Arabidopsis thaliana: one gene and its partners. The protein of the gene in region 1 interacts with the protein of each later gene in a pairwise test. Each region holds a gene or a part of one and is shown in the gene's direction. Other genes may lie near its edges.

Region 1 (8,492 bases):
GGGCTACTATAACAGCTTGGGTTGAATATTGGCTCTTCATTTCTGTGTATAGCGGTGTTCCTGCAATAACACGAAGCAATGAGAGACGGATCTTGCGTTCCCGGACAAAGCAAGTAGAAGGAAGAGATGCACCTGTTTCTGTTTCTATTGTTCCGGGAACAGAGGAGGGTTATACTGGAAACCCTCCGTCTAGAACCGGAATCTTGGTGATACTGGATAGAATGTCCAAGTCCTCTTTTGTTGGCGCATGGAGAATTTATTTCAATCAAGAAGTTGTCCTCCCCGGGGTTTCTCTAGCTCTCTTGTTCTTCACCGTCCTCAGGTTCCTTTTCTCTTTATCTATATGTTTAAGAGTCCTCAGATGAACATGCATATCCTACCGATTATGTGGATCATTGTTGTTTTATTTACCACCTTGACACAGCTTTGGAACATTGATGACGGCTACATTGCAGTGGGAAGGTATACCTACATATATCATCGGTATAGGCAGGGGAATAAGTGCAACGGTTGGACTAGCGGCTACATTAGTGTATCCGCTAATGCAATCGCGTCTCTCAACTCTGAGAACCGGCCTCTGGTCCTTCTGGTCTCAGGTATATCAACTTGAAAACACACCTATGGTTTGATTCATCTGATTGGTTACAGGTTATAACAAGTCTTTTTCTCATTCTTCACTAGATATTAAGTGTATCATATATGTACTTGACCATGTTATGGAACTCGAGTAAAACAAAAGAGTCATAAAAGTAGGGTTGTTGTTCATACAGTGGAGCTGCCTTTTGGTCTGCGTTGGATCGATTTGGGTTAAAAAGGATAAAATAGCATCTTACATGCTAATGGCTGGAGTTGCTGCTTCAAGGCTTGGCTTGTGGATGTTTGATCTTGCCGTCATCCAACAAATGCAGGTATGTTTACATTTCTTTAGCTTATATAGTTACAGCACACGTATTCTTTAAAGACTTATAATAAGAACGTTTCGTAATGTTTTTGGTCATGTGTTAGGATCTTGTTTCAGAATCCGACCGTTGTGTGGTTGGAGGTGTTCAGAACTCACTGCAATCGGCTCTTGACTTGATGGCATATCTTTTAGGTATCATTGTCTCCAATCCAAAGGTAAATAAATTCCAGTTTATATTCTAAGGATCCATATATAGATAATGACTCTTTTTATCCATCAAATGCAAAATTTACGTTTTCATACAATCAAGGTCATAATATTTATGGACTTTTTTATTTCAGGATTTTTGGATATTGACGTTGATCTCATTCTCCACAGTATCGTTGGCAGGAATGCTCTATACAATTCACCTCTACCGCATAAGAAACCATATTTTTCATCTTGAGAAGATTCCTTTGTTGAACAAATGTATATTCAAGTTGCTCCCTTCTCGTGGAAACGTGTAATTCATAATGTTGTGGAATGTGCCACGATTTCTCCGACATGGATAACTAGAAATGGGGTGGTTTTATGACATGACCATAAAGCAGCCAAAAATGAATCAAATGGCTTAAATGATTGGTTAAATAGGTCAAAGATATAGTCAAAAGAAAACACCCACAAAATAGGTCAGTGACAATTTTGTGATGTGTTAAAGACAACTTTCAGTGACAATTTTGTGATGTGTTAAAGACAACTTTCCTCCGTTTTTTGTATGAATTCACTCTGTTTTGTATGAACTCACTTTTATGTAGTTCTATAATAACAATGAAAATTTTCCATTTTATCTTTTGGGAATAGAATTCTGTATTAAAAATCAATACTGAAATAACATTCATCATTAGTAGTAGAAACAGTTGAAAACTCCCAGATATTTGTGTTTGCTTAATAAAGTACACACTCCATTATTATATGTTAATAAAGAAACATTAAGAAGATTGATGAAGTCTCTTCTTGGCATTCTCTGCTTCATCGGTTGCGTCAACTTGCATTTTTGTCTCCGTTAGATGAGCCTCCGTAGCTTCCTTCTCGTTCTTTGCCGTCAATCTCTTTGTCTTCCAAACCAAAATAAAAATAAAAGATTATAACAAAATGAAACTAATCAATAAGGAAATTAACGAGACACCAAATACGTCAAGTGATCATTGATTCAAGAAGACCCATGAGTCTCTGATCCGCTTGTTTCAGTGGCTCGAAACAAGACTCTTGTATACGCACCTGGCCAACAAAAAAGGCTTTGACATAGCTAAACCCTTCCTGGCATGTTACTGCCATGGATAAACAGTTAGTCTTCACTCGATCGGACAAAGACTTCGCCGGCTGTCGTGATGTCTCGGCGTCTTGCATCGCTGCTTTTTCGAGATAGATAGATTGCTTGAAACTTGAAAGCAAGACTAGGAAATATCTCACTTTCTTGTGCCAATGATGATTTTTTTTAACTATTAATGATTCTGGAAGCAACTCTTGCCACGTCTGTTTTACGTGTTAGCTGTAGAGATACCGACGTGTATTAAAGCAAGAGGCTATTTTACTTTGGGCCTTTTGGGCTTTTGGGCTGAAGAAAGAAACTGTCATCGGATCAACAAACACTGCATAGTTTGCAACTTGCACGGTAAAGCGACACAAAATCCATGACGTTTAATTTAGGTTCCACGTGAAGAACCATACCACATATCGTGCAATAAGAAACTGATCACTTTTATATACCTAAACGATTTACAATTTACACTACTATGCTTGACACGATATGTAATTTTTTTTTTTTTGCCAAAGGGTGTTGTTATTGATATTAAACATTGTACAATACAACGTACATAGACTGTTTATATAAAACAAGGACGTCTAGATAAAAAAAGCAAATAACAAATATTACAAGACTAGTTAAGGAAACAACAAACTGAGTAAGGTTTTATGTACAAAACAGAGACGACTACCAAAGAAGAGGGCCAGACGTGGTAGCAGTGATGGAAGACAAACATCCTGACATCTCAATAAGAACATTTATGGCTACTTCAAATACATATATACACAATATGTAATTCTCTTATTACATTTATGGCTACTTCAAATACATATATACAAAAAAAAAAGGCCTACCTTCGACAGAAGTTATACCAATTTATTGATCGGAAGCTACAAAATGTTATCTAGGGTCAATTTGTAGCCTATCTCTATATCAAAACCGATACGGATACAAAATAGTTTGATAATCATAGAATTTAACATTCTAATAAATATTTGTTTCTAGTATTCTTTAAATGAATAATCTTGTGTTCAATTAGTCTATTCATAGTAGAATTAAGTCTCCTAAAAAATAGATTGAAACCAAAAACAGCCGCACATGGATTTAATATCGACTTTAGTTAGGAGGTTTTGCTAAAAATAGTAAAATACTCACAAACTCACTTCTAAATACTAATCTTTTACACTCATGTCATGTGCTTTAAAGATATGAGAGAACCTTTCCTAGTACACCTACAGTCAAAATTTTCAAGATTCCGAAATTTTCTAGGTTTTTTGAGCAAGAGCCAAGAATCCCAAATGTTTGAATTTGTATTTTTGATCCAAAAATACTACAACATCGTATAAAGAATAAATCATACGTGTCAGAACGAGACATATGAAGATGATGAAAGCATTGAGCCGCCCCTCAAAAAATCCGTTCAACGTTTGAGAGTCAAGGCCACAAGGTCTGACCAATCTATCTCTTCTCCTTCTTCTTCTAATCATATTTTCAACGGTCAAACTTTTTATCACCTTCTCAGAAACTACTCTTCTTCATATGTGACCCTAAAAATAAAAACGAACAATTAAACAAAATTTTAAAATAATATAATATTCACCAATCAGACGTGCAATATGTTTTATATATTCAGACATAACCAACAAATATACAGAAACAAGAAGAAGAACAAGAACCATCACTTCTCTCATTTTCTTCTTCTCCAAGCCCCCCTCCTTTCTATATATATCTGAAATTGGTCTTTTATAAAACAAACTTCCATTTTTCGTATGGCTGCTTCTTTTCTTACAATGGACAATAGCAGAACCAGACAAAACATGAATGGTTCTGCTAATTGGTCACAACAATCCGGAAGAACATCTACTTCCTCTTTGGAAGATCTTGAGATACCAAAGTTCAGATCTTTTGCTCCTTCTTCAATCTCTATCTCTCCTTCTCTTGTCTCTCCTTCCACTTGTTTCAGTCCCTCTCTTTTTCTCGATTCCCCTGCTTTTGTCTCCTCCTCTGCTAACGTAAGCCTCTCTGTTTTTTTTCTCTGTTTCTTTTGAAATGAATCCAATTAGTGATGATAATCTGTGTTTGATGTATCATTGATTTAACATCTTGACAATGAATCGTGATCGGAAGTGATAAAGTTATGGGTCAACGGTTTCAAAGAGAGAGAAAGACTTTTAGAGTCAACTCTCGACTCTTTCTTAATTATGTTATTGCTATTTGTCTCTTTTCTTGAAGTCTGAACAATTCTTGGGATTGTTTTGCAGGTTCTAGCTTCTCCAACCACAGGAGCTTTAATCACAAACGTAACTAACCAGAAAGGTATAAATGAAGGAGACAAGAGCAACAACAACAACTTTAACTTATTCGATTTCTCATTCCACACACAATCATCAGGAGTTTCTGCTCCGACCACAACTACAACTACAACTACAACTACAACAACAACAAACAGTTCTATCTTTCAATCTCAGGTATGTACTTCATCAACAGCTCAAATCCTCTGTTTATGAGTTTTTCTATAACTTTGTTTTGAGTTTCAGGAACAACAGAAGAAGAACCAGTCAGAACAATGGAGCCAAACCGAGACTCGTCCAAACAATCAAGCTGTATCTTACAATGGAAGAGAGCAAAGGAAAGGAGAGGATGGTTACAATTGGAGAAAGTACGGACAAAAACAGGTGAAAGGAAGTGAGAATCCTCGGAGTTACTATAAGTGTACTTTCCCTAATTGTCCAACGAAGAAGAAAGTGGAGAGATCTTTGGAAGGTCAGATCACAGAGATTGTGTATAAAGGAAGCCACAACCATCCTAAACCTCAGTCTACTAGAAGATCTTCTTCGTCTTCTTCGACTTTTCATTCAGCTGTGTACAATGCCAGTTTGGATCATAATCGTCAAGCTTCTTCTGATCAGCCTAATTCCAATAATAGCTTTCATCAGTCTGATTCCTTTGGGATGCAACAAGAGGATAATACTACTTCTGATTCTGTTGGTGACGATGAGTTCGAACAAGGCTCATCGATTGTCAGCAGAGACGAAGAAGATTGTGGGAGTGAACCTGAAGCAAAGAGATGGTACAGATCATCATCACCCTCCAAATTTGCTACTCTTTGAACAATCTTGAATATGAAAGTTCTAAAATGTATGTTTTTTTGTGTTTTCAGGAAAGGGGACAATGAAACAAATGGTGGGAATGGTGGTGGAAGCAAGACAGTGAGAGAGCCGAGAATCGTAGTGCAGACAACGAGTGATATTGACATTCTTGACGACGGTTACAGATGGAGAAAATACGGCCAGAAAGTCGTTAAGGGAAACCCAAATCCAAGGTAATAACATAAACAATTGTGCATCTCAATAACTCAGAATTAAGGTTCTTGAGAATCTGACCTTTTGTTTTCTTTTCATTTGCTGAATCTTAACAGAAGCTACTACAAGTGCACAACCATCGGTTGTCCAGTGAGGAAACATGTGGAGAGAGCATCACACGACATGAGAGCAGTAATCACAACCTACGAAGGGAAACACAACCACGATGTTCCTGCAGCTCGTGGTAGCGGTTACGCCACAAACAGAGCACCACAGGATTCGTCTTCAGTCCCGATTAGACCAGCTGCTATTGCTGGTCACTCCAACTACACTACTTCTTCTCAAGCACCATATACACTTCAGATGCTGCACAACAACAACACTAATACCGGGCCTTTTGGTTACGCCATGAACAACAATAACAACAACAGCAACCTTCAAACGCAACAAAACTTTGTTGGTGGTGGATTCTCTAGAGCAAAGGAAGAACCAAACGAGGAGACCTCATTTTTCGATTCGTTTATGCCCTGAAGAAAAAAGGAACCAGTTGTTCCTTTTTTATGTTCCTTTTGTACATTTCTGCCACCAAAGGATTTTACTACTTACTAGTTATCCTGCAGGATAGTAAGTCAGACTTCTATAGTCCATAGAGAAATTTTTTCATTTGTTTTTTCACACGCCTGTAATATGTTTAATGTTTGTACTTTGTACCATAGAACTAGAACACGGAATAAAACCAATCAATTTTCAGTTTCTTCACTTTGAATAATGAATCAAAGAAGCACACACACACACACACAGTGACACAGGGAGACACAGTGACAGTCTGACAGACCCAAATAACAGAAGTTGATATCAGCTATAAGAACACATAAAAGAATTGACATTTACATGTATAACAAAGATCACAATGGTATATAACTACTGAAGCACATTATTGCAAAGAGATCTTCAGATAAAAGAATGAGTGGAGAGTTTGTAACCGGAGAAGAGAGCAGAGAGAGCTAAAGCAATGAATGCGAAGATAGCCATACTTATAGCAGAAGCAGCAGAATCAGTGAAAATGTTATCTTGACCTTCTCTGAATATGTTTGTCAATGGAATTGCAGATGATGCAGCTGATATAAGCAAATACGCCACAATCTGCAAATTTCACTTTTTTGCATAAAAATCATAACTTTACATATATAAATCTGAGAATTGATAATCAGTTTGTGGCATTACCTGGTCGCCGGAGAAATCGACCAAAATAGAAGTCCGGCGATCGAAAATTTCCCTTTTTGAGAAATGTGCAAATGTTTGCCACGCAGTGTATAATGTTGAAATAATCGAAATCGCCAATACATATCTGAAGCAATATAAGAAATTTCAAAACTTTGATCGATATTACGCAAACCCAATTTCAAATTCCAGTATCAAAAAACGGAAATCGAACCTGTACTCTTCGTAGTCATTGAAGTTTCTACCGTAACCATGTTTATTAGAGACCATAATTAAGAAAGCAATAAGAGAGAACAAAAGACAGATTCCTCTCGTAATCGGAGATGCTTTCTTTATCAAATCCTCTCTTTTCCATCTCTGAGTAATCGTCGACGTTCCAGATGCCGGCGTCGGCTCCGACGTCTTCTCCGCCGCAGATTCCACGTCAGTAGCTTCAACCGGTTTCATGTTATCGGGATTCGTCATATTACAGATCTCAAAACTTTGGTCGGAATTGGTTCTGTTTTTAATGCGAAGATTCGGGACGAGGAATAACAAACTTGGAAGAAAAGAAAAACTGATTAGTTTTGGAAAACGTAATTAAGGTTTCGAGTTTTATATGTTAAATTGAAGAAAACGCGTGGTGGCGGGAGTGATTTATGGTAATTGGTAAGCATTAAGCAATGTGATTAAGACTAACAGTTCTGTGTCATGTGTGTTAGTTAATCGTGGCTTGCATTTAGACAGCGAAGCATGCTCATTGGTCAGGATCATTGTGTTTCATTGGTATTATTTTTAAGAGATTTTTCTATATCTATTTATCTATTCTATGGTGATAATGTTTTCTAATCTATATGGTAATATATGGTTTTAGGATTTGGGATGTTTAATCAATTCCATAACTTTTGTGCTAAGAATGGAATTGTTCTTCACAATCTTTTTATGGAAAGCTTTATATCAAAGTCTGATTGGAGAATTTATGGACAGTTGATTTGTTTTTTTTTTCTCATTGGAAGATTGTGTTTTCTGTATAAAGGAATGTTAATTAACTTTATTACATAACAAGAGTTGGAAACAAACATTATAAAAACTGAAATTTGTTATTTCTTTTTAGCAAAAAAAAAACAAAAAAAAACAAGTTCATTGGAAATTACTTGGAAATAGATTGTTGTCATTTGTCAATATGAAGAGCATAAGTAAGAACTTCCATAAGTCTAGATCAATGATGTGTGCATTAGAAGTACCAAATCATTCGAGGCAGTTTAAGTTCCCATTCTAATTGGACCAATGACGAAGACCAAGGCAAAGAAAATCTTAAAGATGCTTTCAATGATAAGGGGATGATTCAAGACTTGTTGAGTCCACTAGAGAAGTTACCTACGGAGTTCAAATCCAATCCATTTTGAGTCTATTGTCCGACCAATAACTGTAAAAACAGTTATTTCTGTTTTGTTCTTAGCTCAACAAATATAACAACAATTTTGATCTTAATGGAGGAAGAAGGTTTTAATGTGAGAGACTTGTAATGGCTTTGGGAACTTATTAGAGTTCACATTTCACAACCTTTTTTTTTATCGAAAAGAAAAATAAATAAATAAAACTTTATAGAGTTCAACGTGATGATACAATTATCAACATTTGCATTGACCACCACCACACTAAATCTTCTGAGCTTGGCGTTAGCGTCACGTCGAGTTACGGTAGGGTCGTGTGTTTGACGTGAGTTTGAGATTTATTTTTTGTTTATTTTAATGTCATTTGTTTTTCAAAACACACAATTTAACTTTGCTAATTTCATAAGAGTATA
Region 2 (7,382 bases), on another chromosome or scaffold:
TCAAATACTAAACTGACACCCAATCACAAAATTCCACGTGTACGTAACTACAAGGTTCCCCACAAGTATATAAACATCTACCCATAATGCTCTTTCATCACACAACTCATAATTACAAAAGCTAAACAGTTCTCTAAAATCAAAGTAACTTTTTTCCGAAGAGAAGATTAGAAAATGTCTAACAACAGTCAGAGCATGAGCTTCAACGCTGGCCAAGCTAAAGGCCAAACTCAGGTTTTGTTAAACGATCGTTTTTTAGAAACTTTAATATCCATTGTTATTTTTGAGTTAATGGAGTATTCATTAGAAGGTAACTAAAATTTGTTATAGGAGAAGGCAAGCAACTTGATAGACAAGGCCTCCAATGCTGCCCAATCTGCTAAGGAATCTATCCAAGAGGTTTATTTTCTTTTCTTATTCTTTAATAGTATATTTTTGTGAAATAATTTGAGAATTCAGAAAATTTAATAATTTGGAAAAACAAAATATAGGGTGGACAGCAGCTGAAGCAGAAGGCACAAGGTGCGAGTGAGACCATTAAGGAAAAGACCGGCATCAGCAAATGAGAAGCACGTTCTAATAATAATTTATGTTTTCAGTTTTCGTTTTTATTCTACCAGAAAAATAATTAGATAGATATGTCTATCTAAATCCAAGAATATGGATTTCGATCGAAGCCATTTAGGCAATTACTTTTGCTTTTCTATGTTTTTTTTCTATATATCTATATATCTAAGAGTTTTTGACTCTTGTCTATTGATAATTTGTAGCCATGCAGTTATTTCTATAATATTTAAATAAATGACATGATTACATGAAACTATAGCTTAAATTTTTTATTTTATATAAGCAATGATTGCGGCTAAATTTATTCTCTTTGTTACCATGACTAGACAAGTTGGATTATAGTTTCGATTAGTGACATGTTAAATAGTGAAAATGGTGGAACCTATCATTTCAGAGGAAAAAAAGAACACACATTGTTGTGAAGCAACTGATTGTTTTGTTTTATTATTCCGTTTTTCATACTCATGTATGTGTGTATATATATATGCATGTAAATGTCGAGTACGATACGAATATCATCTGGTGCATGCACTTTTGATCATTGTGATATGTATATTACTATTTACCGATAATAGGTCTTATAAGTAGTTTTATTTCGTGAAGAATTAGTTGCCATTAAGTTTTTTTTATATAATAAGATCGACATATAATATGCTCGCTTTGCATGTTTATGCAATAAGAGGGAATCTTTAACCACTTGGGTTCTAGAAGACACTAATGATTTGAAGTTTGAAAGAATTTGATCCCTCATGGAGGGACGACATTTTTACACCAATTGGAATTCGAGTCCCCACAATTTTTACCTTTATCGTATTCTTTTTTTCTTTTTTTGGCTTCTTAGTTTTTGTTGTTTTTCCATTAATACTAAAATAATTTAAAGAACAAAAAAAACAGAATTGGATACTATCTCCATTTTAATCTTGTTTCCTCATGTGCTCACACTGATTTGTGTAAATGTTGTTGTTAGTAGTAAACTCTCAATAAAGGAGAACCTATTCGCACTAAGATATATAAGTTCAATATTTTTATTTTTAATTATGTTAGAGAATATTTGTACTGCATTTTCTATTGGTAGCTTGATATTAATAAAAACTTTTAGTACAACATCTTTTCAAAATTTGACCTTTATGCTATACATATTACTCTCATACAAATTGAAATATAAATCATTGAGTACAACGTCTTGTCAAAAATTTCTTTATGCTTATTCATACACGCTATAACTAACCGATATTGATATTAATATTCCTTTTTAGGTAAGAAAACAAGTGGGTGCCTATAAGTTGAAATCTTTAGAAGTACAAAATAATTCAAGAAGGATAGATACAAGAAAATGCAAAATACCCCTTAATATGATAGATACTACAAACTAACCTTGGACATAATACAAAAACTTGAAATCTTAATGCAACATAATGTACTACTAGAAAATGGGATTATGTAACTTACATATTTGTATTAGTGTCGCAACCGTATCATATTCTAAATTCAAAGAATAGTGAATATGTTTTGAGTTAAAGACAAAAAAAAAATTACACCAGTGTTATGTCACCACCACCAGTGTTATGTCACCACCACCATCACCACCACAACCGTTGCTACATTCTCACCAATGTCACCATAATTGGTATTTAGTTGTGGCAGAAGTGTGGGTTGTTGTAGATAATATCAATTTTATATAAAGAGAGATTAATAGTCATTTCTTCTCATCCCTAAAAAAACATATATTTAAATTTCTTAGTGAAAATGACTTCATTTCAGTTTCCATTACTAGTATAAATGTGTTTATATATATAGAAATTAGAAAATTACAGTTTCCATTATTTTATACTCTGAAATTGATCGTACATAAATTGGTAATTGGAAGGTAGTTTTTGCTTTTTCTTTCTAGATACAATGTTAAGTTCCTAATGAATATTTTTAATATTTTATATGAAATAGGTCCAAATATTACAAGTTCATGTATTTGAGTTATCATTTGCTACCATGAATATTTGCAAGACAGAAAATATATCAAAATCTCATGTGGGGACATAAATCATAGACATTTAAATCTTATCCGTTATTGTAGACAAACAAAAATCAATTTATTTTTTTTATTGTAGAGCGTAATAATTTTATAACGTGTGTCAACATAAACGGTAATTACAAATTGCTTTAGATTAAACAATTAAACATGTGAGGAGAACAGACGAATTTGATAAAAAGGAACAAAAGAGCATGCCAAAAATTTAAGAACATCAGCATTGTTAACATTGAGTCTATGAGTATAGATTCTACAGGAAAATTCTCAATAATTGTTCTTCGACCTATAGAAATTATTCTAATATCATGGTTCATGGATATGGGCGTCATCAAATTCCAGATAAACAGTGTATATCACTATAGTTTTAATTAGAAACCTGATTTGATGTTCTTTAATATACGATTCTTAATGGATATCCAAAAATAGGTATGTATGTAATTTTCTACTTCAATAGCAAGAGTATCAAAAAAAGTTTAATTAGTTCGATAAGTATCAAGAGTAAACTTTTATATGTATCAATATCAAACTCTTGATATCAAAGTTTAATTAGTTCACCGTAATGGTCTTAGTTATGTAGGTTGATTAGAAAAAAATAATGATGGACATCGATATGTATAAATACTATAATCCATCATTTAAGAGTCATTTGTATATTTTATACGTTGTTGATGGTAAACATTGTAAATTTTGGCTTAGACATTCTTGTGACGAAAAATCATTATTTCAAGCCAATTTTTTTTTTCTTACACGGTATTGTCTTCTGATATAAAATGTCGTATGGAATAAATAAGCCCCTTAACCCAATTATCCAGAAGAAGAAAAAAATCTTGGCAGCTATTCAAACACTTGTTGATTCGTATAAGAGAAATGATGATGATGTTAGACGTAGATGTATAGTATAATGTACATAGTCTACGGAACACGAATCTAACAAAATTATGTTTTTAATTTCCAAAGTTTTTTAAGAGAAAGAAAGAGAATGAGAGATGGGTCCATGACACCTCACTTTTTAAAGTCTTTTTAATTGTCGTCGCACGACAAAACTAAACAACATTACACATTATTCACATCAGCAACTTCCACTCTTCTTCTTCTCTTCAATCATTCTCTCTCTCTCTTTCCCTCTTATACACATCAACACAACACGAAGACATCTCTCATTAATGGAAGTTTCAACATCATCCATGTCTTCAAAACCAGAACAAATGCAAAACCCACCTCCTATGATCTCATCTCCTAGGTTTCAGCCTCAGATAATATCTCCTCATCATCATGACCAGCATCAACATCTCTCAAATCCTTATCCAACAACATTTGTTCAAGCAGACACTTCTACTTTCAAACAAGTCGTTCAGATGCTTACCGGCTCATCCACCGATACCACCACCGGAAAACACCACGAAGCTCCTTCTCCGGTGAACAACAACAACAAGGGATCAAGTTTCTCGATTCCACCCATCAAGAAAACCAACAGCTTCAAGCTTTACGAGAGAAGACAAAACAACAACAACATGTTCGCTAAGAATGACCTAATGATCAATACGTTAAGGCTTCAAAACTCTCAGAGATTGATGTTCACAGGAGGAAACAGCAGTCATCATCAAAGCCCGAGATTCTCTCCAAGAAACAGTTCATCATCAGAAAATATTCTTCTGTCTCCAAGCATGCTGGATTTTCCGAAGCTAGGGCTAAACAGTCCCGTGACGCCACTGAGAAGCAACGATGACCCCTTCAACAAGTCATCACCTTTGTCATTAGGGAACTCATCGGAAGAAGACAAAGCCATTGCTGATAAGGGCTTTTATCTTCATCCATCTCCAGTCTCAACTCCTAGAGACTCTCAGCCACTGCTTCTTCCTCTTTTTCCGGTTGCTTCTCCGGCGAGGAACTCTTAATCCCGACGATATCCATGAGTGATTTTATACATGATATTAAATTATATCTATCTCCGGATTTTGTTTAGCTATAACTAAGATATCTATAAGTTTGATCATAGTTATGGAGTGACTGTAAATTTTGTGCGGTTTTTTTCACTTTCAATCTCAAAAATTAATTGCAATATATGTAATTGGGAGGCATAAGTATATATATTCATGATGATACTCATATTTATAATACTCATTGTCCTTTTTGTTTTTCCAAAAGTTCGTTTATAGTTTTGCTCTTACGATTGTTACTTCAACGTGTGCCACTCAATATCGAGATCAATGTAGAGAATCGATTTATGTCTATGCTCGAATTTATGATATAGACTTAAATTTCCAAAAAAGTAAAAACCTATTTTGATGAAACAAAGAAATACATAGAGTTCTTACTTTAAAAATATAATCTATGAAAGTCTCTATTGGATTGGAAAACATGAGTGGATTGAATGCAATGGTCATTGTCAATAAGTATCTATTGGAAGTTGGACTTGTAAAAATATTTAATATTTCTTAATAATACTAGAAAGTTTCATAAAGACATTTATCAAAAGAAAAAAAGAAAATTCAAAGAGACAATTTGAAATAGAAAGACTCGTGAAAGAAATTTCTGACCAGGTTCGACACGTAGTATTGGACCATTTCGGTATATGATGACTTAGAATTTGATGGAGTCATCATGGAGGCACGTTTGGTCTTTTACTAAAATTTCTTTGACTTTCTCTTCTTCATTCTATTTTTCTTTTCTTAAAGAAATAGATATACGTTAATACTGTTCTTCTGTTGCTTTGTCTTTTTGACTTGAAAGGACAAAAAAATAATCTTTGAATGAAAATTTTTAAAAAAAAGAGAAAAGTGGAGAGAAAGAGTGTAAAAGTAAAAGACGAAATAAGTAGTCCGTTATGATGAGAGTTGAAAACCAAGCAAAAGTCGAATCATCTTTGCTTCACATTACAAGCAACTTCCACTTCAATTTGCCCACAACTTTCCTATTCACATTTTCTGAAATTTCCGAAACTTGCATAAAATAATTTTCATATATGCGGCCGAACTTATAATGTTTTTTATATATACACTGAAGACCAAGTTGATGTTTATCATTTTGTATATATAACTTATATACATTTAACTTGGAACCAATGTTGCCAATACTTTTTCTTTGGCTTATTTTTTCTCAAGATTATTCAAATCAATAGATATAAATAATTTATATAAAAAAAAATAGTCAATTAATGAATGTATCAAGAAACATAAGCAAGACTATGCATATAGTTAAAGGCTAATGACCATAAATAATAACTTCACATGTTGGTTTCTTCAACAATAATATTCTTAGTAAAGTAGAGAATGTATAACAACTTCACAAGTACTAGAGCATCTTGGTACTGCATGGAGTGTCTGGCGAATGTGGTTTACATTTGCCTCATCCTTATACATATAATCAATCTTTAGAGTCAATTTCTCCAGAATTGTTGAATTCTCCAAGAAGTACCTAGCTACTTTCAGTTCTGTTCCACATCCCAAGAGCTGACTTTCCAATTTAACAAACTTGAGCGACGATACCAAACACGGTGGTGGTACTGTCGAAGACATCACCTCTTCTTTTTTATTCTTTTCATAGTCAACCAATTTCTAAGAAAACGAAAAAAAATACAAGAAAACAAGTTAGTAATAGAGAAGCTTCACTAAAAATTGCTTTACTATTAGAGAGGGTCAAGCAATTCATCACCAAGCTGAGAGATTCTAGTTTCGGGCAGCTCTTAAGAAGATTTAGCAGCATTTCCAGATTAGAAATAGAACAAACAGCACTCAATTCGGACAGGTAACAAAATTGTTGCAAAGGTTCTAATTCCATGTAATGAAAGATGTCCTGGTAAAAAGTAAAAATAAAGAATGTTAAGAGATAATATATATTTTATAGAAAAAAGATTTTGATACTCACATATATTTGTCACATGTATACCTTGATAGTACCATGTCTAATGACTAGAGACCTGACCCTTGAAATAGTGGTGAAGAAATCACGCGTCATGCTTCTATTGGATAAGTCGTTTGGATCAAGCAAGTTGACGTCAATATCTACCTTGGTAGTGAAACCTAGATTGATGAATTCAATGCTCTTTATTGAGTGAGCTTTAATACTCAAAAACTGGAGTAGAGGAGTATCGATAACAAGTCCATTATGTCGATCAAACCGCCGATGTATTTCGACTCTCTTTAGTGTCTGAGAGCGTACTTGTATAATCTTTACATTATCTTCAGAAGATTTGACAATGGTTAACTCTTCTAGAACTGGGGAGCATGAGATAATTTTATCCAACGTGGTCTCATTGGTAAAATTAACAAAATCTAAGTCCAGAATCTTCAGGCAAGGCAAGGAAACAAACTCGACGTTAACCATGGTGACTCGAGAGAGTTTTAAGTGTACGAGTGTATCACAAGTATACAAGCTTAGTGGTATGACACCGAAGCCAGAACAGGTAAAAACACTAATATCAATATGCTGAATCCTATGCCTAGTCACAAGATCTATCCATGAGGTGAGATAATAGTTACCAGCAAGATCATAAATACATACACGTAGTTTCTGTATATATGAGTCTTTGTGTAAATAAAAAAAACTGCCAGCAAAACTCACAAACTCACTGAACGACCGTAACTCTCGGGAGTCGAAATCCAATACAGGAACCAATTGCCAAAGATTTCTCCATCTTGTGGATAAGATGCTTGTTCTTACAGCATCCTTGGTAGAAAGATGAGACAGAATGACACATATCAAATGATCAGGTAATTGGCTTAGCCTCTCTTCCTCTGATCCTTGACTCGACCCTTTGCCACAAATTTCTGTCTTCACCATTTGTTTCTAC
Region 3 (7,321 bases), 2.2 Mb from region 1:
GTTTCTTCTAAATTTCCTCAACCACCAACCACCTTCTCAATGTCGTCCTCCTCTACCCAAAACCAATTGGAGATGCGGGATTACACGTGTCCGGAATGTAACATAGGTCTTAGGGTTCTCTCATTGCCTTCCGCTTCTCCTCCATACTGTCCTCTATGCAATGTCGCTTCTTACTTCACTTCTTCGACCCCTTTTGAAGTAGGTCCTAATCCTTTCGAAGACGATGAGGAATCTCAGTTTCTCGATCCCATGGAATCTCTTCCGACCATTAAGATCTCATCTTCAATGTTGTCTTCCGCTTCCTCAGACGATTCTGCTTTACCATGTGCCATTTGCAGAGAAGATTTCGTGGTTGGAGAATCTGCTAGGAGATTGCCATGCAACCATTTATACCATAATGATTGCATTATTCCTTGGCTCACAAGTCATAACTCGTGCCCTCTCTGTCGAGTTGAGCTCCCGGTTGCATCTAGTGAAGACGATAGTGGTCTGGACATGTGGTTTGATGCTTTGAACCTAGAGGACGACTTGGAGGAAGAAGCGGGAGTCACGCTCGATTTGGAGCAAAGTTTAGACGGCTAAAATTCTAGCTATAGGGTCCATCGATGTACGTTTTATAACGTTTTCACATCTATATATATAGATCTACCTTGATACTAATATATGATTTCAAATCTATATGGACTTATCTTATCATCAATAAATCTACCTTGATACTTTCAATGCATGTGTCGTTTATTTAGTCGTGTCCATGTAGTCGAGGTATCGCAAGAAATGACGAAGGTCTGGTCGTGTTTCATGCTAGAGCTTCATTCACCCGACTAGAGTCTCTGGTGACGTACCGGTACACTACGATGTGTCTTATCGACTCTTGAAGGTCTACGCAACTTGCACATTAATCGAGTGAAAATAGTATCTGACAATGTTGCGGCGATGAAGGCAATCAATAATCCCAAATAATGGCCAAATATTGCATTCTCTTGTGCAAAGTTTATAGCATATTAGCTGGGCTCAATTCATGGGAGTGCCACCGAGTAGCGGTATATTCTAATAAAGTTACTAGAGCTATTGTGAGAAGCATTATGCGAGATGGGAGACTTCAATCATATTTGGCGCTTGGAGAGTTTTCTTGTATTCAAGATCAAGTGCTTTCTAATAAAGCGTAATTTTATTCTAGGTTTTCAAAATTGATCTTATCGTTTACGTTGTGTTTCAAACTTTTTGTTCTAACTCCGATACGTTTAATTAGGAAACAAAATCCGTCTTATTAGCTAAGATGACCTTTTAATTAGATTTGGGCCTGCTTTCGAACAATTAATAAAAAGACAATTGTGAAATATAGAGTAAACAACAACTAGTGTTATAGTGGAGGAAGGCAAAATTCTTAAAGGAATAAAAAAAAAAATTCTTCATACATCACATTGGACATGTATATTGAATGAAAAAAAAAAAGAATCACTGAACTCCAGTTGACGGTTTTTTTTTTTTTTTTTAATGAACTCCACTCTCTAAATATCTAAATTGATGGATGATATGATTTCTAATTTATGGCCTTTGCATATATATATTTGTTTTAAGCAGTTCGCATATGTAGAACAAGTCTCCCAGTCCGCGTAATGGCATTTAATAATGACTACATAGATTTTTTTCCCCCAAATTTATGTTATTCACCTGATTTAAAACAAACAAACATACAGCTATTTTTTTTTTTTGGTGGAACAAACATACAGCTATTTATGTAACCATACAGCTATTTATATCGAATCTCTGAGATTTATGTAACCAAATGCGCCAATTATATCAAATAGTATGGTTTACATTTATAGATTTAAATAAGTTTGACTTCTAAATGGATTGACGTTAATATAAACAGAATAATTATCAATACTGAAAGTCTGCAACTAATATGACCTCTCCCTATGATCATAGGCTATTGTTTGCAAGAATTAATTAATCAAGGTCAAAACCACCAAATAGTGGTTTCGTACAAGAATTCACCAAAAAGAGTGATATTGTATAAGTAAAACCAAAATTATCACACTTAGGCCAAAGCAACATCGAAAGGTGGACTACATAGGCGGTAGGCTTCAAGAATTCACCAAAAAGAGTGGTGTTGTATACTTGTATAAGTACATATATTATATTCTGCTTATTTCAAATTAAATGTAATTTTGTAGAAATGATCATTATTGCAAATATGTTGTAACGACTAGAAAATAAAACACAGTTCCGTGTGTAAGTTTTCTAAGACCTCTCGATAATACTCGAATTCTAATTCGACTCTCCAATTATCTAAATATGTTTTTTTGCAATATAAATAACGACAAATTACGTAATGTCAACGGAGGTTAAATCCACCCTGTCGCTCTTGTTTGCTTCTTTGGCAAAACAAAAGTCAACTATTATTTTATTTCTTTGCAACTTTCAAATTCTTTATTGTAGGTTTGTATGTCATTTTTGTATAAAATATTTCTTTCGTACAAAATAATTACTTAAATAAAAACCAACGAGTACACATTTTTTCTTTGTTTTTAAGCACACAAAGGCATATCTATCCGTGTCGACACCTCAAACATGTGTAGATGAATGATCTCATGCATATGTAAGTGTCTAAACATAGAGATGAAAATTGATGAGATAGACATTACAAACCTATTTAAGTGGGGATAGTTTAGAAGGTAACTTTTGGTTTTATTAAAACTAAATTCAAACAAAATTAGCTTATACGAAAATTAATGATCTGCGTCAAGTGGGATCTTCATGTTTATTACCTTGGTATAGTTATATATATATATATATAAATTATAAGAAATATGACTTAAAGAGCATCATCAAACCAAAGAAAGTGAAATAAAACTTATGATTTGAATTAGGTCGGTTTTCAAGTGACCGTTTCCTGAGTCAGATTTTGACCCCACAAATCGATATAAAATTGCATGCCATTTTAGTTTCCATCTACTAATATTGTTATAAGTTATGATAAAGTAAAATTCCACACACGACGTCATTAGCCAAAACAATATAACGGGACTATCAATCATTTGATCATGTAGAGACGCCCAAACCGTAGATTCATTATTACGGCTTAGACAAAAAATGAAACTAGTAAAAGAAGTGTTTTCAAATAGAATTAGCATCATATTTAATTATTTTTCTACAGAAACTATAGGGAAGCCAAAAACAGAACAGAACAGACATGCCGACAAATTAAAACTTTCACACACACAGACACATTTGCGACCAAATTAAAGACATATATATGGCTCACGCTATCTGTTTAGATATTCTAACTATATGATGTTTGTATAATATTATAGTTTAGATTTATCGTCAGTTGATTAATCACAAATCATAAACACATTATTTTATTCCGACTGTAAATTAAAAATTAAACTAAAATGTACTAGTGTAAAATAATAGTGATACACACATAAAACTTTATTTAAATCAAGTTGTTGTTGTGTGTCATGGAGGCAGGTCCATAGCTGTTTCGTTATACACCTTCTTTGTTATTTCAATATTCAAGTTTGTTGTTAATTTAATGTTATTGACTAACCAACAATCCAATATATTTATAATTATCTATATATAAATAACCCGCCGCAGTATTATTCCACGGCATACGAATTATTTTGGTTCAAATTACAGATATCTAAAAAAGGATCAAATCTTTTCTCAATCGTTTATAGTTTCTTCAATGGAGATTACTCAATATCAAAGTTTTCATGAAGGTTCGAGTTCTAGGGTTTCCATGAACAGGAATTCACAAGTAATATCCAAGATCAAACCCAAGATTCGCATAATCCATATATTTGCACCGGAGGTCATCAAGACCGACGTCAAGAACTTTCGTTCACTCGTCCAGAGTCTAACCGGGAAACCGGCACCGGGAGAAGCCAAAACCGGTAAAAAGAGAGCCAAATCAAGAATTACGACTCCCCAAGAACCGGTTTGCGATGATCATCAGCCGGTCAACAGGCTTTCGGGTTTCACCGGTTTACTAGCAAACGGAGGAAACCACCAGGTGAAAGAAGAGTGGGGATCAGGTGATCAGAGTACTTCGAACACAAACACGTACTTTGATCTAGAAGGTTTAATTCAAGATGTCGGAGAAGATTACTTCTCTTCGTTTCCCATGAGATCCTCTTCTTCTTCACAAGTCGAAGGTTTCATCTTCAACAACAACAACAACAACAACAACAACAACAACAACAACAACAACAACAACACCAACTTCGATACAAAGGCTCATAATTCGTCTTAATTAATAACAGATTAATTTCTAGGGTTTTCAATCTTATTGATTCTGCAAATCGCATTTGGTGAGATGAGATCTAATCGCAACGATAAGGTCATATTTTGTGGGAGAAAAAAGGCATAGAAGTTGTATATAGATATAACAAATGGGTATGATGAGAGACATAAACTTTTGGCGGGACTGACTTTGCCAAGGTTGAGAGTTGTGATGAAGAGAGTTTAATCTACGTGCAGCCCTTCTAGGAGAAGTGGCTGTATCTAATTAAGATGTGGTCGGTCAAAAAAGCCCTAGTTTTATTATGTAACTTCATTGATGTGCTATTATTGGATGTGTATTAATTCTTTGGTGTGCAGATAAATGTGATGATTGCTGTACTTTAATTTTGGGGAAAAAGTTTGTATGGAATTAGAACAAGGATCGACTTGTTTTCGATATAGATACTCTGATTGATTGTGTATATTGAATATCGATACTTACATAACGGTTATTCGGTTAAAGTACAGTTACACTAATTAAATTAAACTGTAAGTTAACAAGAATATTCTGGCTCAAGCTAAATTATTTTTTTTATTATTATTGTTTACTAATCTTTTGTTACAAATGTTGAAAATGATATTTATTATACATGTAGTACTTCAACTAAAATAAATAACGTGTTTTCATATTTGATGTACGTGTATAATATATCATTTTCAACAGTGAGTAATATTAACCCTTTTATCAAAATAAAGTAAAACAAAATGATATAACCTATCAACAAAATGCAAAGAAAATTGATCCGAACCGAATATAGCCGTAACGGTACACCAAAATTGTTTTGAGATTTTAGTGTCCGTTGACCTTTTCATATAAAGCCAAATTATTCGGTCTGGTTTCCAAAAGAACGAAAAGGTATATGATTACGGTTTACTCCCTTGCTTCTGTGTTTTGGTTTAGTTTGGTTTACCTTCTCAAAGTTCTCGAACGTCAACATTTATTTTATCTTATTTTGTAAGGTTCTGCACATGTTATACTTATTAATTAGTCTACTTTTTCAGGCATTGGGATTATTTGTTTTAGTCTAAATCGGTTTTGGTTGCATAATATTGGATGAAAACATTGTAAAGGACAATTTCAAACCTGACTTTTCTAGATTTGGAAACGTTCCGGCTGCTTGAAAAGCTCACATAAATATTAGTATGATTTCTTAAACCAAAAATAAATGATGATTATCAACAATACCGTAAATAAGGCAAAGGAAATAAATGATGATTATCAACAATTGCCGAAAATAACCACACCGGTACACCGAAATTGTTTTTGAGATTCATAAAACCGGAATAATACGCCTAAAGGTTATTTTCTCCAATACCGGTTTAGTTTGGTTTGCCTTCTCAAAGTACTCGAAGGTCAAAATTGGAATTTAGTAATAAACCTGCTCCAGCTATATACAAATGTCATTTGCTCACCTTTCGCCGATTGATTTTGTACATCACACGCAGACGCAGCTTTTAGTATTTTTTTCAACAATCGCTTTTTTTTTTCTCGATCTCCGTGAAGCTCTCGAATCTCTGGTATGTTTCTTCGCTTCTTCATAGTGTTTCTCATTTCCTTTTGGTCTTCCATAATTTTCGGAGAATCTAGTCCTGTTTTTCTCTTCTTCTGGAATCTGAATTCGCCGGTGAATTCCGCTGATCGAATCTCTGAGTTTTGTTGAATTATTTGATTCGGCGATAAAACTTTTTTTGTTTGTTTCTGATTTTGGTGAGTGTTGATTGCTTGAGTTTTTTCACGGATCGATTTGTTTTGAGAATTGGGTGGATACTGTCTGTCACAGGTTTTGAGTTTTGGAGAATGGTGTTTTTCCGCAGCGTATCGGCCTTTACTAGGCTGAGGTCTCGCGTCGTAAGTATTTGAAAATTTTGTTTCCAGTTTTGTGTTTGTTCTCGTTTGATCTCGCTGGTTCATGCTAATCGATTGATTGGTGATCGAATCTATGTAAGCAGGGCCAACAATCTTCACTCAGCAATTCTGTCAGATGGATTCAGATGCAGAGCTCTACCGACCTGGTAAATCATCTCCGTTGCTTCGTACTTTCGTGTGTGATCGTGATCATGTAGTTTTCATGATCATGATCATATGTAAGTTTAATATTGGTTTGGGATCTGCTGCTTGTGGGGTCTTTGTTCATTTTGTTTAAATGGTGGCAATGCAGGACCTGAAGTCGCAGCTGCAAGAGTTAATTCCGGAACAGCAGGTTAGATTAGACTCTGTTTGCTTTAAATGAAAATTTGTGTTGTTGACTTTTTTTTTTCATTGAATGTGTGTATTATTTGTTATGTTAGCTGAGATTGTTAAGTTAAGAAGGCAGGCTAGTTGTAGTGAATCTCTTTGCTTTTCTAGTTTCCTCTTTTCTCACAAGAATTTTCCAATTTCAGGACCGTCTGAAGAAACTGAAGTCAGAACATGGGAAGGTCCAACTGGGAAACATCACTGTTGATATGGTAGAAACAATCATGATTTTCACGTTTTTGGTTTGTTTATATGATTTTCACCTTCCATTGCATAACTCATCATAATCCCCTTTGAAATAAAGGTTATTGGTGGAATGAGAGGGATGACTGGATTGCTTTGGGAAACCTCATTGCTTGACCCGGAAGAGGTACTGTATAACTCTCTGTATATAGTTACAATAGCTTGGTTAGATCCTAGATATAGAATATATCAAATGCTCCTCCTTCCTGTTCTAAGGCTGTTGATGCAATTATCTTATCATTATTTCAGGGTATTCGCTTTAGGGGATTGTCGATTCCTGAGTGCCAGAAAGTATTACCTACTGCCCAGTCTGGAGCTGAACCATTACCGGAGGGTCTTTTGTGGCTTCTCTTAACTGGAAAGGTGTGGCTCTTCTGTACATTATTATAAGTTGGTTCTGGATATGTCCAGTCGATTAGTTTTCCTCAATAGATTATCTTATGATATCCTTTTTTACCCTTTTTCGTATAGGTACCTAGCAAAGAGCAAGTTGAAGCACTGTCGAAAGACTTGGCGAACCGTGCTGCTGTGCCAGGTTTGGATATTACC

The links. Proteins that work in one complex are often made in the same cells at the same time.
Region 2: the proteins of WRKY33 (region 1) and AT5G53830 interact in a two-hybrid assay, tested with the Arabidopsis thaliana proteins (one study listed by BioGRID).
Region 3: the proteins of WRKY33 (region 1) and AT2G44340 interact in a two-hybrid assay, tested with the Arabidopsis thaliana proteins (one study listed by BioGRID).

Annotation. Positions count from the first base shown.
Region 1 is NC_003071.7:16,104,524-16,113,015, forward strand, and holds WRKY33 (WRKY DNA-binding protein 33), read left to right. Parts: upstream 1-3,711; 5' UTR 3,712-3,952; coding exon 3,953-4,195; exon of another isoform or gene 4,196-4,444; coding exon 4,445-4,651; intron 4,652-4,720; coding exon 4,721-5,253; intron 5,254-5,343; coding exon 5,344-5,505; intron 5,506-5,601; coding exon 5,602-6,016; 3' UTR 6,017-6,243; downstream 6,244-8,492. Other genes in the region: IREG1 (iron regulated 1), read left to right, coding at 1-322, 425-596, 771-908, 1,006-1,116, 1,243-1,407; AT2G38465 (uncharacterized protein), read right to left, coding at 1,870-1,995, 2,159-2,287; AT2G38480 (Uncharacterized protein family (UPF0497)), read right to left, coding at 6,437-6,628, 6,710-6,833, 6,921-7,171.
Region 2 is NC_003076.8:21,853,301-21,860,682, forward strand, and holds AT5G53830 (VQ motif-containing protein), read left to right. Parts: upstream 1-3,647; 5' UTR 3,648-3,756; coding exon 3,757-4,488; 3' UTR 4,489-4,802; downstream 4,803-7,382. Other genes in the region: AT5G53820 (Late embryogenesis abundant protein (LEA) family protein), read left to right, coding at 175-234, 331-399, 492-566; AT5G53840 (F-box/RNI-like/FBD-like domains-containing protein), read right to left, coding at 5,848-6,147, 6,245-6,385, 6,479-7,372. UniProt on the Arabidopsis thaliana protein: May modulate WRKY transcription factor activities.
Region 3 is NC_003071.7:18,310,582-18,317,902, forward strand, and holds AT2G44340 (VQ motif-containing protein), read left to right. Parts: upstream 1-3,606; 5' UTR 3,607-3,697; coding exon 3,698-4,264; 3' UTR 4,265-4,741; downstream 4,742-7,321. Other genes in the region: AT2G44330 (RING/U-box superfamily protein), read left to right, coding at 40-582; ATCS (Citrate synthase family protein), read left to right, coding at 6,092-6,142, 6,241-6,306, 6,453-6,494, 6,676-6,741, 6,834-6,899, 7,022-7,135, 7,244-7,307. UniProt on the Arabidopsis thaliana protein: May function as positive regulator of plant growth.